Saccharomyces cerevisiae S288C: one gene and its partners. Changing the gene in region 1 together with any one later gene gives a genetic interaction. Each region holds a gene or a part of one and is shown in the gene's direction. Other genes may lie near its edges.

Region 1 (5,727 bases):
TTGTCCGTAAATCATGTTCTCCCAAGTTGGAGATGAAGAGTCCTCGAAATCAGTCATATATGTCGTTACTTCAGCATTCAAAGCGTTGACTAACATATTTCTCAATGGTGGCCCAGTAATCTCGCTGGATCTGTTGATCAAACCAGGGGCTGGGATAGCACCTTGCCATGTAGGATCGTTCCTGATTTGTTCGGTTTCCGGCAAGAAATCAAATCGGTATTCACCAGAGTCTAACTTTGATTGTAAATTGCTTCTGTTGGCTAAAAGCTGTTTCCGTGTTGAATTGAAAGTTCTATGCAGCAAAACAATGAACTCTAAGGCATCTTTTGTTAAAATATCAGCTACAGTAGTTTTGGAAGGTTCAAATTGAGGAGTCGTGTCGATGTCTGCGTATAGAGCAGTGTTGTCCAAGCTTATCTTCACCATTGTTCAGTGCTCTTTACCGTGCCTATGACACATACTCTAAGTGATATCAACTGCACAGAAAGTGAAGAATTAAGACTACATGCGTAAATGTCCCCATTTTATACTTATTGCTTCACCAATTGACGAAACTATCCAATCTTTGTGATACTTTCACGATGTACCTTATCCAAGATAAGCCAAAACTTATGAAATTCAATTTATGTGATAAGAAAAGCAAACGCAATTTTCCAAAATCCGCGGTATTCTATCGCACCGCAACTTTCAGCGGAGATTTTATGTCGATAATCGTAAACCTATGAAATTACTAATACATGAACATTTACATATTTACTTCGCCCACAGTCGCAGAATTAGATGATAATACAAACGTCGCCATCGCTGTAGTGTTCTTCCACACAGTCCTTCTCGGGCCTGTCAGGGTCCAGACTTTCGTAGATTAAGACTGAAAAATCCAAATGTTCTTCCTTGCCAAGTACTATCATGGGCGCATGCCAGGTACCTAAGCCATAGGTAACGGCCTGATTACCCAAACATGTAAAAGCCCTCAACGTAGACAAGTCTGGCTTATTTCCAATTTCTTTAGCGACTACTACCAAGTATGCTACTTCCGCTGACGTTCTCCCCATAGGCACAAACGTCTGCGTACTACACGGATGCTTTTCGAGGACTTTGATAGAATGAGAAATCGCCTGATTGGAGCCTTGAGTGAATACTCTATTCAGGTGCGGCTGTGGAAAGCAACGGAATAGGTTCCAATTGGGAACTTTACTGGTAGATTTATTCTCTACCTGGCTTACTTGAAGCAATTTGATCGCTGTTCCCTGGTTTGCACCTTTTTCAAGGTTTTGCATCCTTGAAATCTCTTCATCTGGCGAAATTATCGTCCCATACTCCTCGAAGGACTCTTTCGTCAATGTCTCCGCCACCACGGTCACCATATCTTTGCTTCAAAGATTTTTTGCCCTACAAGATAAGCATCAAGAGCGATTGGATGACAGTTACTGACTTATATATGCGAATGCACATGAATAGACCGCATATGCTTCTTATCAGTCTTACCTCGCTTATCTTTCCCCATTTATTTGCCAATCCATCTTATCTTATCTGGCACTTTGTCTCAGGGTTAGTGTTACAAAAAGGCTAGGACTTATTTCCAAAATTCTACTTTTGAAAATAACCCTAACAATAAAAGCAAGGGCATTCTGATGTTACCCTAGAAATGTCGTATTTCTTTTTATATCGTGGATCATGACAAAAAACTCAACATTTTCAAATGGGTGAGCTCTAAACCAGAAAATACAGCCGCCGAAAGCCTTTTAAAAGGACAGCGGCGCTTGATCAACAGTCGTTCTTGGGGTCGTTAAGACTAGATCCTGCTTCCCCCCCTTATTGTGCATTTAAAGGCACTTATTGAAGGTCATTTTGGCGAACAGAACATTTCGTTATGCAGCAGAACAGTGAGTTCTTAACGGAAACACCTGGAAGCGACCCTCATATATCTCAATTGCACGCGAATAGCGTAATGGAATCACAGCTCTTGGACGATTTCCTCCTGAACGGGTCTCCCATGTACCAGGATGATAGCATGGCGCATATTAATATTGATGAGGGTGCTAATTTCCAAAATTTTATCAAGACAGATGAGGGTGATTCGCCCAACCTGTTGTCTTTCGAAGGTATCGGTAACAATACTCATGTCAACCAAAACGTGTCCACTCCACTGGAGGAGGAAATGGAAAGTAACAGAGCCTTGAAGGAGGAAGAAGAGGACGAGCATGAAAATAAGGTTTTTAATGAAAAAAATATAGGCAACCCTGCTCATGACGAGATTGTATTTGGAAGAAAGGAGACGATTCAATCTGTTTACATAAATCCTTTAGATTACCTTAAAGTGAACGCAGCGCAGCTACCTTTGGATGTAGAGGTCTCAGGTTTGCCACAAGTATCTAGAGTGGAAAATCAACTGAAACTGAAAGTGAAAATTACGTCTGAAACACCACTAAACCAAAGCATGCTTTACTTGCCTAGCGATTCCATTTCAAGAGAAAAGTTTTATTTAAAAAAAAATATCGAGGATTTTTCAGAAGACTTCAAGAAAAATCTTCTGTACATCAATGCGTTTGTTCTATGTGCGGTCAGCAACAGAACGACAAATGTTTGTACCAAGTGTGTTAAGCGAGAACAAAGAAGAGCCGCTAGAAGGAAATCAGGTATTGCAGACAATTTACTCTGGTGTAATAATATTAATAGAAGGTTAGTCGTGTTCAATAACAAACAGGTTTTCCCCATAATGAAAACTTTCGATAATGTTAAGGAGTTTGAATTAACTACCAGGCTAGTTTGTTATTGCAGGCACCATAAGGCAAATAATGGCTTTGTCATATTATTCACTATAACAGATTGGCAAAATAGACTGTTGGGTAAGTTTACGACAACACCTATTATGATCACGGATAGAAAACCAGCAAATATGGATACCACCAAGTTTAATAACACTACTACCTCGTCCAGAAGGCAGCTAACGGAAGAAGAATCTACCACAGAATATTATTCAACGGATAACAACCAATTGAGCAAAGACGAAAATATGCCATTTCAATATACTTATCAACACAACCCATATGATAATGACAGTCAAATGAATAATATTCCACTGAAAGACAAAAACGTACCATTCCCATATTCCATCTCTCAACAGACAGATTTGCTTCAGAACAATAACTTATCACTGAACCTTTCTCTGCCCAATCAGCATATTCCATCACCAACATCTATGAGCGAAGAAGGCTCAGAATCATTTAACTATCATCATCGCGATAATGACAATCCCGTCCGTACTATCTCTTTGACAAATATTGAACAACAGAGTCAATTGAACCAACGGAAAAGAGCACGCAATAATTTGGAAAATGACATTGGTAAACCCCTATTCAAGCATTCCTTTTCAAATTCAATCAGTGCAACAAATACGATGAATCCAGCTTTACATTCAATGCAAGATTTCTCAATGAAAAACAACAACAATAATTTGCCATCAATTAATCGCGTTATACCTTCACAAGGCCCAATCAATGGTGGTATCGAAGTTACATTACTGGGTTGTAACTTCAAAGATGGTCTTTCTGTAAAGTTCGGCTCTAATCTTGCCCTTTCTACGCAATGCTGGAGTGAGACCACGATCGTCACTTATCTCCCTCCCGCTGCCTACGCGGGTCAAGTTTTCGTCTCTATTACTGATACGAATAATGAAAATAATAACGATGACCTTCCCCAAGAAATTGAGATCAATGACAATAAAAAGGCCATATTTACCTATGTTGATGATACTGATAGGCAACTGATTGAATTGGCTTTGCAAATTGTGGGATTAAAAATGAATGGTAAGTTAGAAGATGCAAGAAATATCGCGAAGAGGATTGTTGGCAATGATTCTCCTGATAGCGGTACAAATGGCAACAGCTGTTCAAAAAGCACAGGTCCCTCTCCAAACCAACACAGTATGAATCTGAACACAAGTGTTCTTTACTCCGATGAAGTCTTGATACAAAAAGTTATAAAATCATTGAACATAAATTCCAATATTTCCATATGTGATTCATTAGGGAGAACTTTATTACATCTTGCCTGTTTGAAAAATTACTCAAGCCTTGTGTATACATTGATTAAAAAGGGTGCTCGTGTTAACGATATTGATTCCTTTGGGCTAACTCCATTACATTTTGCTTGCATAAGTGGTGACCCTAAAATTATTAAGATGCTTTTAAATTGTAAAGTAAATTATTCACTGAGGTCACACAACGGATTAACTGCAAGAGAAGTATTCATAGCAAACCACATTCATTCAAAGGAAATAGACAAAAAACAAGATAACAGAGACAACCATAAGTTTGTTCATAATGACACTTATATCAGCGAAGTATTGTCATTGTTTGAAGAATTCCAAAACGGTACGAAGTTTACCGATAGTGTAGAAACAGACAGTAATTATTCTATTAGCAGGAAATATTCACAATCCAGTTTCAATTCAAGCCTGCTAGACAATGAATCTTTGAATGAGAACTTATTCGAAAGCCAAAGCATGATAAATCCCACTTCTATGGAGATTCAGCATCCAACCTTGCAACTATTTGAGAATTCAAGTTACTCTGAGTACGACCAAAGTGATTTCGAAGAAGACGGGGATGAAGATCTGTTCGTCACTGACGAAGTAGAAAAACCAGGTGTTGCATGCAGGGAGGAACAAAGCGAACTCCTTGATATTGGATCTAGCGCCAACGAACCCGAAGAGGATAATGGTAGTACATCTCTCTGGAATAGAGTTTTACATCGAATTAATGATGACTTACCAAAATATGAGGATCTGTTCCCGTTGTCTTGGGGTAAAGATGATAAATTGAAAACCACAAATCAAGACAGTATTGTGGAGCAGTCAGCATCTAATATTGAAAACTCTGAAAATTCGGAGGAAGAGGATTATGAGGAAGAGGAAGAATTTTTGAAAAAACAGTTTAACAGATTCTTCCAAAACAAACAAAACTTCCGAAATGATAAAATGTTAATATTTTTCTGGATACCCTTAACACTACTACTTTTGACATGGTTCATCATGTACAAATTTGGCAACCAAGATAGTTCCATCAATCATATAAGCGAATTAATCTCAGAGTACTTGAGAATTGCATTAGCAAAGTTCTTGCTGGGAAATGAAAGGATGAAAACTGCATTCAGGTCAAAATTATCAAACCTGCAAACAACAAGAATGTTGAACGATTTAATTGTCAGTTAGTCTGCTTTTTTACGTATATATATATATATATGTGTGTATAATGAAAAGACAGTACACTTAAAAGAAGAGAAAGTCATTTAAAAAAAGTCAAAAAAAAATTAAACTTGTAAATGTCAGCGTAACGATAATGTATATACTTTAAATGTAAACTACAATCTTGAAGATCTTTTAACACGAGCGCAATGTCTATCGAACAATTTCTTGGCTCTAACCCAGACAGGAGCAGTTTTTCTTTGAGGTAGGAGCTCTAAAGATGGTAAGAGATCATGAGAGAAAAATTCTGAAGCTTCTCTTGGCAGCAAAGAAGGCAAGTGATCAATAGAGATGACAGATAATTTAGGCCCGGCAGTGGTAGGTACCAGAACGGTAGGTTTGTTAAACACAGTAGCCACAGTGTATATTGGGATGGGGTTGTGAGGGTTGGTAGTGTCTGCTGATACGTCCACCACGGTCCTTAGTCTTCTGTTAGGATTATTCAGTTTCTCCATGTTAGTGAAAGGAGCAATTGGCTTCGA
Region 2 (3,685 bases), on another chromosome or scaffold:
AACAGTTTATCGACACTTGTTGTTAATGGGTCACAAATTCTGTTAATATCGTTTCTTGCTAAATCTACCAGCATAACATGTTCTGCACGGTCTTTTAACGAGCCACGTAATTGGTCCGCTAAAGCATCATCCTCTTCAGTAGTAGCCCCACGTTTGACAGTACCAGCAATTGGATGGGTAATGACTCTATTTTTGGAATCCGATTTGCACAACAATTCTGGAGATGCACCAATGATTTGGAAATCCAAACAATCAATATAAAACAGGTAAGGAGATGGGTTCACTGTACGTAAATGTCTGTAAATATTGAAAGGATGTAACGAAGTTGGCCTTGCCACTCTTTGCGATGGCACACCTTGAATAATATCACCTTTCTTAATATGCTTCTTCAAAGTGGAGACGTGATTTTCGTAACCTTCCTTGCCCACATTCGATTCAAAAGTTTGATTCAATTTAATAGGAGGTTGTTCTGGATATGGTATTGGCGAGGAATCGTCGGTTAGCTTTGATACGATATCAGTGATTATTTGTGCTGCAGCTTGGTAACCTTCCTCCAACGAAGTTTCATTGGTATTAATGTTATGAATGATTTGAAATCTCTGAAAAACATTATCAAAGGCAATAATGGTATCACAAAGCATTAAATATGCCTCTGGAAGTCTTAGGACATCTTTCAAAGGCCTTCTTGTTTTTGGCTCGAAATAACGAACACAGTCATAAGAAATATAACCAATAGCACCACCACTTAATTTCGGTAAACCAGGAACATTTTCGGCTACTTTAAAGGTAGACATCTCCTTTTCCAAAATTTCCAAAGGATCTGTTTCAATGCCTTCAGTAGGACCGGTTTTGATGGTCTTGCGTGGCGAGATACCTATGAATGAATAACGATCTAATTCATTATTTGTCTTAGCACTTTCCAACAGAAATGATTCCTTTCTATCAGGGTTGTTCAATTGTGCCAATTTTAGATATGCCACGTGAGGAGTCAGATCCAATGATGGCAAATACGCATACACGGGATACATATTTATGGAACTATCGTCATTTTGCTGCTGTAATTGCTTTAGAGAGTCAATATCCGGTTGAATTTTGATGGAAGCGGTCATTTTTTGCCTTTTTTCCAATCAGAATATCAGTGCTAATTATCGATTGTGGCCTCGGTTTTAAAGTGATGATTGCCTTCTGCTACGATGGACCATAGCCCTTTAGTCATGTTAATATATCAAAATCTAACAATACTTCGATGAGTGAAAAATCGTAATGAGTCAGCAAATCACTGTGTACGTTAATGCCTTTAACAACTTTTTTTTTCCCACAAACTACTTCAACGATTGAAAGGATTATTCTAAAAAAAAAAATATCATGCTGATAAATGGAAGGGGATGGTAAAACAAAGAAAACCAGCCAATTCGGATTCTGACAGAGCAAATTGAAACTGGATATTATAGTGCTAAGTATATAGACTTCTGTTTTGTTCTTTAAAACTAAATAAAAAAAATTCACCCTCCTCCCCACGGAATAAAACTACAACAAGTTCTGTTATCAAGGACAATTAGTGTATATTAGTTGTTGTAACATTTTTTACTTTCTCTTTTTTTTTTTCATTGATTAATTATAACTATTCGTTCGAGATAGTAGTTTTCCGATTAATAACATCCCTAGGATTTTGACTATTCCATTGTTGTATAAAATATAGAGAACCAGAAAAAGAAAAATGGGACAAATTCTATCAAACCCGGTAATTGATAAAGAGAGCCACTCCGGTGCTGACTCCTTGACCGCGTTTGGACTGTGTGCAATGCAAGGGTGGCGGATGTCAATGGAGGATTCACACATTCTAGAGCCTAATGTTTTGACAAAGTCCGATAAGGACCATATTGCATTTTACGGTATATTCGATGGTCATGGTGGCGCTAAAGTAGCAGAATACTGTGGTAATAAAATAGTGGAGATCCTGCAAGAGCAGAAATCGTTCCATGAAGGAAATTTACCAAGGGCTTTGATTGATACTTTCATAAACACAGACGTGAAACTGTTACAAGATCCTGTGATGAAAGAAGACCATAGCGGATGTACGGCTACATCCATATTAGTATCAAAGTCCCAGAACTTGTTAGTATGTGGTAACGCTGGTGACAGTAGAACCGTACTCGCCACCGACGGGAACGCAAAGGCATTATCATACGATCACAAGCCCACTCTAGCAAGCGAAAAATCACGTATTGTGGCAGCTGATGGCTTCGTAGAAATGGATAGGGTCAACGGTAACTTGGCGCTCTCTCGTGCCATTGGTGATTTTGAGTTCAAATCCAACCCCAAATTGGGCCCCGAGGAGCAAATAGTGACATGTGTTCCGGACATTCTCGAGCATTCTCTAGATTACGATAGGGACGAGTTTGTAATCTTAGCCTGTGATGGTATCTGGGATTGTTTGACTTCCCAAGATTGTGTGGACTTGGTTCATCTCGGCCTTCGCGAAGGCAAGACATTGAATGAAATTTCTTCGCGGATCATCGATGTCTGTTGTGCTCCCACCACAGAGGGGACGGGTATTGGATGCGACAACATGAGTATAGTGGTTGTCGCGCTGCTGAAAGAAGGTGAAGACGTCGCTCAATGGAGCGACCGTATGAAGTCCAAGGCCCACCGCACATCAGTGCGTTCTTTTGCAGACAAGAGAAGAAGGGTGTTTAGTTACTACGATTTTTCCAAATGTAACGACGAACAGGTGTTCGCTATCACTACGAAGAAACCTCAGGACAAATTCACTCGCGACCACGAAGCCGCTGTGGCCTCGGTGACTGCCGCCGATAACGACGATCCAATGGACATAGACGACACGGACGCTGACACAGATGCAGAAAATCTTGACCCTTCCAGCCAATCCAAGAGCAAGACCTCCGGCCCCATTGATCTAGCATCCTTGGAGGCGCTACTTGGTGCTACAGGAGGAGTGAAGACAGACAGCAACGGGAACAAAGTCACCTACACTCTTCCCCAGTCTGCCTTGGCCCAACTGCTCCAAACCATGGGCCATGACCCGGCTTCCTCCCATCCCGAGAATGACAGTAACACTGACCACAAGGCCGGCCGTTCCCACTTGCAATGAAGGATCTTCCATCCTTCATTATATATACATACCTATATACGAACCGAACGAACAGAAAGAGAAGAGAAGACGCAAGACACCACCAGAACCAAGAGCATACACCACTACCACCACCATCGCTACCAACAGCAGGATATCCGGATGCAGTTTGACGCTTGAAGATGGTATTCACCTCAGGGGTAAACGCGCAGAAACTGCGCGTTTACCTGCAGCGACGCCACAAAAACGGACCGGCCCGGCCAGAGGGTGAGACCAGCAGCGGCCCCGTTGTGAAATCTCACCCCCAGTCCCGGATGGGCACGAGTCCCCAGCGCCCGTCCCATGAGGTCCTCCTAAGGTAGACAGCGCGGATGTTTCCGATGCAAAGGAGAAAGGATGGACGGTACAGACATCGTAGACAGGATTCGCGCATTGCCTTGCACATCTGTGCCCCATCCAATCTACCGTATCTATTGTTATCGTCGTGTGTGCTACTCTTTTCTCCGACAGCCTCGACAAGACGGAATCAGAAAGTGCACACAGTTTAAAAAGGAAAAAAACCGAGTACAACAAAAACAGGGACAGGTTTTGAAA
Region 3 (4,540 bases), on another chromosome or scaffold:
GGACGTGATTCTTGTACCATCTTTTGCTCTAATTTTACGTGCGTATCTATGTGTGTGTATTCTATAAGAGTACAAAAAAAAACTGTATATTGTTGTCCTAATTCTATAACTTTTCCATTTGGCTTATCCTTACTTACAGCCACAGAGCTTCTATTCTGTCTCTTCGAGATTTAACCGGCTGGGCCGACAAGAAAAACGGTAGAGCACCATGTGAATATTATACCATAAAGAACAAAGAACAAGAGAACGATCTGTTGGTGGTGTTCTAAAGTGAAGGAGGTTACCAATCGCTTAGAAGAAGACTGGCCTATGGAATTCATATCTGCAGACTATTCTAGCAGTGACGGTAGTGATACCGAGAGCGAAAGTAGTAACAAAAGTGAGGTCCAAATCGAATACACGGAGAAAACTTGCATACAGAAAGCCGATTCCACTGATTTACCTGCAATACCGGATTCAATTATATTGAAGTACCACATCCCTCCGAATTTACAAAAGTACGAGCACCAGGATATGAATATGAGTCGATTTTGGCGTTCGTTCACATATTTTGAGTGGCGTCCGACTCCAGCGATTCACCGACAACTTCAGAAAATCATATGTAAATATAAAGAAACATTTATGAAACAGGAATACACTAATCCGTATCAACTGGTGGATTTTGACCCGTTGTTCATCTCACACTTGGGAGCCCCCAAACCTTTACACGTTTCCTTAACTCGATCGTTGTTGTTTGAAACTGAAGAACAAAGACATGTTTTCATTCAAGAAATGCGTAATGGTTTACGAAATAATGAAATAACCCCTTTTAAACTTCAAATCTGCTCATATCCGAAGTTATATATATCAGAACGAGCCAACACCTTGTACCTCGGTCTCCCTGTCTCAGAATGTCCCAATAAGGCACAAATTTCTCCTTTCAAAACGATAATAGCTGAGGCACTTCAGAAATCAGGCATTTCAAACTATCAGGATTTAATTGTAAGTAGGCAAAATTTACATGTTTCAATTGCCATCGCTAGCAACCCTTCAAAAGCCACATTAAAACGTTATCAACAATTAAACGAGACGATGGGGGCGCTTTTACTACTCAATAATGACTTTGCATACAAACTAGAGTTCTTAGTTAACTCTATCTATTGTGATGAAAACCGTCACTCCATTAGAATCCCTTTTAACTAATAGTGTTATAGGAATAGCCGCCCAAAAATACCGGGGCACTGAGAGCGGCTCGTCAGATAGGTGAAGGTTGTCATAATATACGATATATATCTCAAAACGGCAAAATGTAAACATTGGCACTTTGGGAAAATTTCAGGACACTTTTGGTTTACAGGTAAAGGATAAGGATGCTTGTAGCTAGTAAATCAACTCCAGAAAGCATTTAGCCATTAACGGGCAAATATTAAGGAGGGAGTACTGTTTGTTTACTCGCAATATTTCTGTCCCTTTTCTTTCATTAAGGGTTTTATAGTACACATAAACTTATAACAACCTCTCTCGGCATTGTACCTAGCAAACAAAAGCTACGTTGCAGGGAGACTCAAGCAACAGTTAAAGTGCTAGAAGAAAAAAATACAAGGCATAAATTCAAGAAATAACTAAAGAAATCTATAGGACCAAAAACGGTGTTAATACAATCATGGATAACGTTGTAGATCCGTGGTATATAAATCCCTCAGGCTTCGCGAAAGACACTCAAGATGAGGAGTATGTTCAACATCATGATAATGTCAATCCTACCATACCCCCACCCGACAATTATATTTTGAATAATGAAAACGATGATGGCCTCGATAACTTGTTAGGTATGGACTACTATAACATCGATGACCTGTTGACTCAAGAGTTAAGAGATCTGGATATTCCTTTAGTGCCTTCTCCTAAGACGGGCGATGGTTCTTCTGATAAAAAGAATATTGATAGAACTTGGAACCTTGGTGATGAAAACAACAAAGTCTCCCACTATAGCAAAAAATCAATGTCCTCACACAAGAGAGGTCTAAGTGGCACAGCGATATTTGGATTTCTCGGCCATAATAAGACATTGAGTATTTCCAGTTTACAGCAATCCATTCTAAATATGTCTAAAGATCCGCAACCCATGGAACTCATAAATGAATTGGGTAATCATAATACGGTAAAAAATAACAATGATGACTTTGACCATATAAGGGAAAATGATGGTGAAAATAGCTATTTGAGCCAAGTTTTGTTGAAACAGCAGGAGGAGTTAAGAATTGCTCTTGAAAAACAAAAGGAAGTGAACGAAAAATTGGAGAAGCAGTTGAGAGACAATCAAATACAGCAAGAAAAGTTGCGTAAAGTATTAGAAGAGCAAGAAGAGGTGGCGCAGAAGTTGGTTTCTGGGGCTACAAATTCTAATTCCAAACCTGGATCTCCAGTAATACTAAAGACACCTGCCATGCAAAACGGTAGAATGAAAGATAATGCTATAATCGTCACAACGAACTCTGCAAATGGCGGATATCAATTTCCTCCTCCGACGTTAATATCGCCTCGGATGTCAAATACTTCAATAAATGGTTCACCATCCAGGAAATACCATAGGCAACGATATCCAAATAAAAGCCCAGAAAGTAATGGATTGAACCTTTTTTCCTCTAACAGTGGTTATTTGAGAGATTCTGAACTGCTTTCATTTTCTCCACAAAATTATAATTTAAACTTGGACGGCTTGACTTATAATGACCATAATAACACCAGTGATAAAAACAATAATGATAAAAAAAATAGTACTGGTGATAACATATTCCGTCTGTTCGAAAAGACTTCCCCGGGTGGGCTAAGTATCTCTCCAAGGATAAATGGAAATAGTTTGAGATCGCCCTTCCTCGTCGGCACAGATAAAAGCAGGGATGATCGATATGCTGCTGGCACGTTCACGCCTAGAACACAGTTGTCACCTATCCACAAGAAAAGGGAATCCGTAGTTTCCACGGTCTCGACAATATCACAACTGCAGGATGACACTGAACCCATCCACATGCGAAATACCCAGAACCCAACATTAAGAAATGCAAACGCTTTAGCGTCATCAAGTGTACTACCTCCTATTCCTGGTTCCAGCAATAACACTCCAATTAAGAATTCTTTGCCACAAAAACATGTATTTCAACATACTCCCGTCAAAGCTCCACCAAAGAACGGAAGTAACCTAGCTCCGCTTCTAAATGCACCGGATTTAACAGATCATCAGTTAGAAATTAAGACACCCATACGAAATAACAGTCACTGTGAAGTGGAAAGCTATCCGCAAGTACCACCTGTCACACATGATATTCACAAAAGCCCCACTTTGCATAGTACGTCTCCTTTACCAGATGAAATAATACCTAGGACTACGCCAATGAAAATAACCAAGAAACCAACTACTCTGCCTCCGGGTACCATTGACCAGTACGTCAAGGAACTACCCGACAAACTATTCGAGTGCTTATACCCTAACTGTAACAAAGTATTCAAGCGTAGATACAACATAAGGTCGCATATTCAGACACATTTGCAAGATAGACCGTATTCATGCGACTTTCCCGGTTGCACCAAGGCGTTTGTTCGCAATCATGATTTAATAAGACACAAAATCTCCCATAATGCCAAGAAATACATCTGCCCATGCGGAAAGAGATTTAATAGGGAGGATGCTCTAATGGTGCATAGAAGTCGGATGATTTGCACCGGCGGTAAGAAATTAGAACATTCGATCAACAAGAAACTTACATCTCCCAAAAAAAGCCTGCTTGACAGCCCGCATGACACAAGTCCCGTAAAAGAAACTATCGCCCGGGATAAAGATGGGAGCGTCCTAATGAAAATGGAGGAACAGCTGCGAGATGATATGCGCAAACATGGATTACTGGATCCACCCCCATCCACAGCAGCGCACGAGCAAAACTCGAACCGCACCCTTTCAAACGAAACTGATGCTCTCTGACGAACATTTATCTATGCATGATATTAACATAATAAATAATAGTAACAATAATATAATACATTTATTTCTTTACGATTTACGTACACTGTAGTCTTAAGGGCCAAAAAAGGCAATAGTCATCGTTTATAGGGACATAACCCTAAAGGTTATATGCGACTCCTTCTCGAAAATGAAAATTTTTCACAACCTTTAGGGTACATTGCCCTTTAACTACTACAAACCAGCTTCACACATCCTTTGGTAAAACACAGTGTGACGATTTTAAATGACGCAACCTTTTGGGAGACACGATCTAAAACCCACTATATATGATGATACTGTTTATTGAATCATACACCCTGTTGGTTAGACCGGAAGAAAGCTAAAGTTGATCTCCGAAAATACAACGGTGCATCAACCAAAGAAAACATTGCAGGCGTTTCCAAGTGACACTGCATATTCGAAAGTATGGTTGATCTTATAGCGAGGGATGACTCCGTAGATACTTGCCAAGCTTCTAACGGCTACAATGGGCACGCAGGTCTTAGAATTCTGGCAGTATTCATTATACTGATATCGTCAGGATTGGGAGTTTATTTCCCAATT
Region 4 (3,940 bases), on another chromosome or scaffold:
CTTTTGACATCCTCTATTTCACCCATGTTCGAGGACCATAGGGCGATGATTAACTTTCTGAATGTTTTATTGGGGAAAAATGGTGCGCCCTTTTCAGATGCAAAATGAGTTGATTCCAGCTCTGCAAGTTGAAGATAGACATCAAGCGAATCTAACCCAAGTGATGTTTCGAAAGGTATGTCCGAAATGATAGCTAACAGCTTCGTCTTGAACGCTTCATACACCTTTCTACACCAATTAACAAACTGTTCCTTCTCTAATGTGCTCTTTTTGGACGAAGGAAGGGTCAAGTCGCCGCGGGAAAACAGCTTTCTAAATATCTGGAATAGCGACATAACCAGAAATCTCAAATTTTTTTCTGTCTCATCTTCTTCCAATTGAGTAACATTTTCTGGAATCACTAGTTCATTGATTAACTTGATAATGGAGTTGTACTGCTTTCTGTCACCCGCAGCAGTCAGCCTCTTGGCAATATCTTTAATTTCTGATATAAGCAATACCATATTCTTTGACGTTTCTTTTTAATAGATCTCTCTTCATGGCAATAGAGGATGATAATTACATCTCATCTCATCTCATCAAAACCGTAATACACTTTTTTTTTTCTCAGTTGGAAAATTTTAGTGAAAAATTTCAAGAATAGCCCTAAACCTTCAAATACGAGGATTACCCGTAGAGAAGTGCTGAAAAACTTTTTTCTTTTTCTTTTTTTTCGATTTTCATTTAACAGGTATAAAAAGCGAAACACTCGGTACATATATTTTACCAAGACGCGTTAGATTTTCTTTGGAGGTTTCATTTAAAGAAACCAATGACCTTCCAAGTTTTTAAAAGAATACGATGATATTATTTGCGTTTCAAATCGAACAATTCTTCTCGGAGCGATCTGAGGTTTTAATGGAGATAGCGGTTCCTGCGCAACCCATTGATCTTGTTACATTCTTAAGAATGACAAGGACGCTTTTATAAAATTCTGATTCTTTTTTCTTTCATTCTTTTGTTGTTTTTGACTTGGGAGTAGTCATCTCATCTGTACACAAGTAGCTTTTTATATGTTCTTAAATTGTAGACTAGTCAAAACTTGTGTCCTTTAAACCGTGCCGAAACAGTTTTAAAGCGGACATCCAGGGAAACTTGCCGTTAACAATAAGTGACCTTGCATGGAAGACTGTCGATTGGTCTCTGTGGAAACCAGTGCATATCTAAATTAAATCTATTGTCATCACGAATGCCGCCCGTGTTCGTGCAACGTGAGCGCAAATACGCCTGGGGTCTGTCTTTCTGCGCTGGAAAGCACCTTCGGGCATCAACTACCGTTTCTTATCGCTGGCACTATCTATCCACCAATCACACGGCAGCAGTACTGCTGCCGTGGACGGCAAATTAGGTACAGGGCCTATGACTGTTATCATTTGGCAGGCTCAGACAGAGAGAGAGAGCACAAGGAAAAGAGCCTTAACTCATGTAACATTTGACTCATTCTGTAAACTGAAAATTTGCTGCCCACTCGAGATGACAAATAGTTCGTTCTTGAATTTATGCGCATTTATAGATACGCATATATAACCCTATAGTGAACGCCACTAGGAGACAGATTCTGTTTGGACCCTGATCGCATACTCTTCTTACCTTTACATAATAAAATAAGAAAAAGTATAACTTGCTTTACGCTAAGGATATAAATCGGACGTAACTTAAGATGTGTGGTATTTTCGCCGCTTTCAGGCACGAAGACGTGCATAGATATAAGCCAAAGGCTCTACAACTATCAAAAAGAATCAGACACCGTGGTCCAGATTGGTCCGGTAATGCTATCAAGAACTCCACTATATTTGTTCATGAAAGACTAGCCATTGTCGGTGTGGAATCCGGTGCTCAACCAATTACTTCTTCAGACGGAGAGTACATGCTATGTGTTAACGGTGAAATCTACAACCACATTCAATTAAGAGAAGAATGCGCAGACTACGAGTTTGGAACACTGAGTGACTGTGAGCCTATCATCCCAATGTACTTAAAGCACGATATCGACGCTCCTAAGTACTTGGATGGTATGTTTGCTTGGACTCTTTACGACGCTAAACAAGATCGTATTGTGGCAGCCAGAGACCCAATCGGTATTACGACATTATATATGGGACGCTCTTCCGCTTCTCCAAAGACCGTTTATTTTGCATCCGAACTAAAATGTTTGACTGACGACTGTGACACTATCACTGCATTCCCACCGGGCCACGTATACGATTCTAAGACTGACAAGATCACCCGTTACTTCACACCAGATTGGCTGGACGAAAAACGCATTCCTTCCACCCCAATAGATTACATGGCAATTAGACACTCCTTAGAAAAAGCCGTTAGAAAGAGATTAATGGCCGAAGTCCCATACGGTGTTCTATTGTCGGGTGGTTTGGACTCCTCTTTAATCGCTTCCATTGCTGCCCGTGAAACTGCAAAGGCCACTAACGATGTCGAACCATCAACTTACGATAGTAAGGCAAGACATCTAGCAGGTATCGACGATGACGGTAAGCTACACACTGCTGGTTGGACAAGTCTCCATTCCTTTGCCATCGGTTTACCAAATGCTCCAGATTTGCAAGCCGCAAGAAAGGTTGCCAAATTCATCGGCTCTATTCATCATGAACACACCTTTACATTACAAGAAGGTTTGGATGCTTTGGACGACGTGATCTACCATTTGGAAACTTACGACGTTACCACTATCAGAGCTTCCACTCCAATGTTCTTACTATCCAGAAAGATTAAGGCCCAAGGGGTCAAGATGGTTCTTTCCGGTGAAGGTTCCGATGAAATCTTCGGTGGTTATCTATATTTCGCACAAGCTCCTTCTGCGGCAGAATTTCACACTGAATCCGTGCAACGTGTCAAGAACTTGCATTTGGCAGATTGTTTGAGAGCTAACAAGTCTACGATGGCTTGGGGTCTAGAAGCTCGTGTTCCATTCTTAGACAGAGAATTTTTGCAATTGTGTATGAACATCGATCCAAATGAAAAGATGATTAAACCAAAGGAAGGACGTATTGAAAAGTACATTCTAAGGAAGGCATTCGACACCACAGGAGAACCAGATGCTAAGCCATATTTACCAGAAGAAATTTTATGGAGACAAAAAGAACAATTTTCCGACGGTGTTGGTTACTCCTGGATCGACGGATTAAAAGATACCGCCGAAGCAGTCATTTCAGATGAAATGTTTGCCAGTCCAAAGGCCGAATGGGGTAGTGACATTCCAACCACAAAAGAGGCTTTCTGGTACAGACTAAAATTCGATGCTTTGTTCCCTCAAAAGACCGTGGCTGACACCGTTATGAGATGGATTCCAAAGGCCGACTGGGGTTGTGCTGAAGATCCTTCTGGTAGATATGCCCAAATTCATGAAAAACATATCGAATAAATAACATTAAAAAATAGAAAAAGAATTATGGATTAATCTTATAGATATTTTTATAGAAAAACAAACACTAACAATAATAATAATAATAAATAGAATATAGAAATACATATTTTTCATAATAGTTTGATGAAGTTTTATTCATAAATCATTTTTTATCGCCAGTGCTAAAAAATTAAGTGTGTGGATGACTGTATATATGCGTATCGAACGATCTTGATGCAAATCATTTTGAAACATTATTCTTGACTTTGATATTTCCTATTATACATCCTCCTTCCTTGAGACCCAATAATCTTAAAAATGATGGAGACAGTGCATGCCCTCCTTTTCACCCTTCTTTTATGTCGTTTCTTACAATTTTCGAGATTCTTTTGAATCTGATCTCCTTTTACCTTGTGACTGAAGATTCCTAATCGAATTGCTCCTCTCTAGCGACGCCCTTTGTTTCATTTCGTGTGCAATTAGTAGATCGTGCCTTGTTATTACTGTATTCTTATTTCTTGATTTAATTTCCGCTCGATA

The links.
Region 2: of MGA2 (region 1) and PTC2, changing one enhances a phenotype caused by changing the other (phenotypic enhancement), as found in Saccharomyces cerevisiae (2 studies listed by BioGRID, with this or other methods).
Region 3: mutations in MGA2 (region 1) and ACE2 together harm fitness more than expected from each alone (negative genetic interaction), as found in Saccharomyces cerevisiae (3 studies listed by BioGRID).
Region 4: mutations in MGA2 (region 1) and ASN1 together harm fitness more than expected from each alone (negative genetic interaction), as found in Saccharomyces cerevisiae (2 studies listed by BioGRID).

The regions. Positions count from the first base shown.
Region 1 is NC_001141.2:414,254-419,980, forward strand, and holds MGA2 (Mga2p), read left to right. Parts: upstream 1-1,870; coding exon 1,871-5,212; downstream 5,213-5,727. Other genes in the region: malate synthase DAL7, read right to left, coding at 1-426; DAL3 (ureidoglycolate hydrolase), read right to left, coding at 777-1,364; LYS1 (saccharopine dehydrogenase (NAD+, L-lysine-forming)), read right to left, coding at 5,362-5,727.
Region 2 is NC_001137.3:335,373-339,057, reverse strand, and holds PTC2 (type 2C protein phosphatase PTC2), read left to right. Parts: upstream 1-1,717; coding exon 1,718-3,112; downstream 3,113-3,685. Other genes in the region: anthranilate synthase TRP2, read right to left, coding at 1-1,109. UniProt on the Saccharomyces cerevisiae protein: Dephosphorylating regulator for many key proteins. Dephosphorylates the cell cycle master regulator CDC28/cyclin-dependent kinase 1; its activity appears redundant with phosphatase PTC3.
Region 3 is NC_001144.5:403,925-408,464, reverse strand, and holds ACE2 (DNA-binding transcription factor ACE2), read left to right. Parts: upstream 1-1,642; coding exon 1,643-3,955; downstream 3,956-4,540. Other genes in the region: bifunctional choline kinase/ethanolamine kinase CKI1, read right to left, coding at 1-20; USB1 (phosphoric diester hydrolase), read left to right, coding at 310-1,182; low-affinity Zn(2+) transporter ZRT2, read left to right, coding at 4,403-4,540. UniProt on the Saccharomyces cerevisiae protein: Plays a role in regulating basal-level expression of CUP1. Activates EGT2 transcription in the absence of SWI5.
Region 4 is NC_001148.4:820,921-824,860, forward strand, and holds ASN1 (asparagine synthase (glutamine-hydrolyzing) 1), read left to right. Parts: upstream 1-1,699; coding exon 1,700-3,418; downstream 3,419-3,940. Other genes in the region: ribosome biosynthesis protein NOC4, read right to left, coding at 1-503; YPR145C-A (uncharacterized protein), read right to left, coding at 3,770-3,940.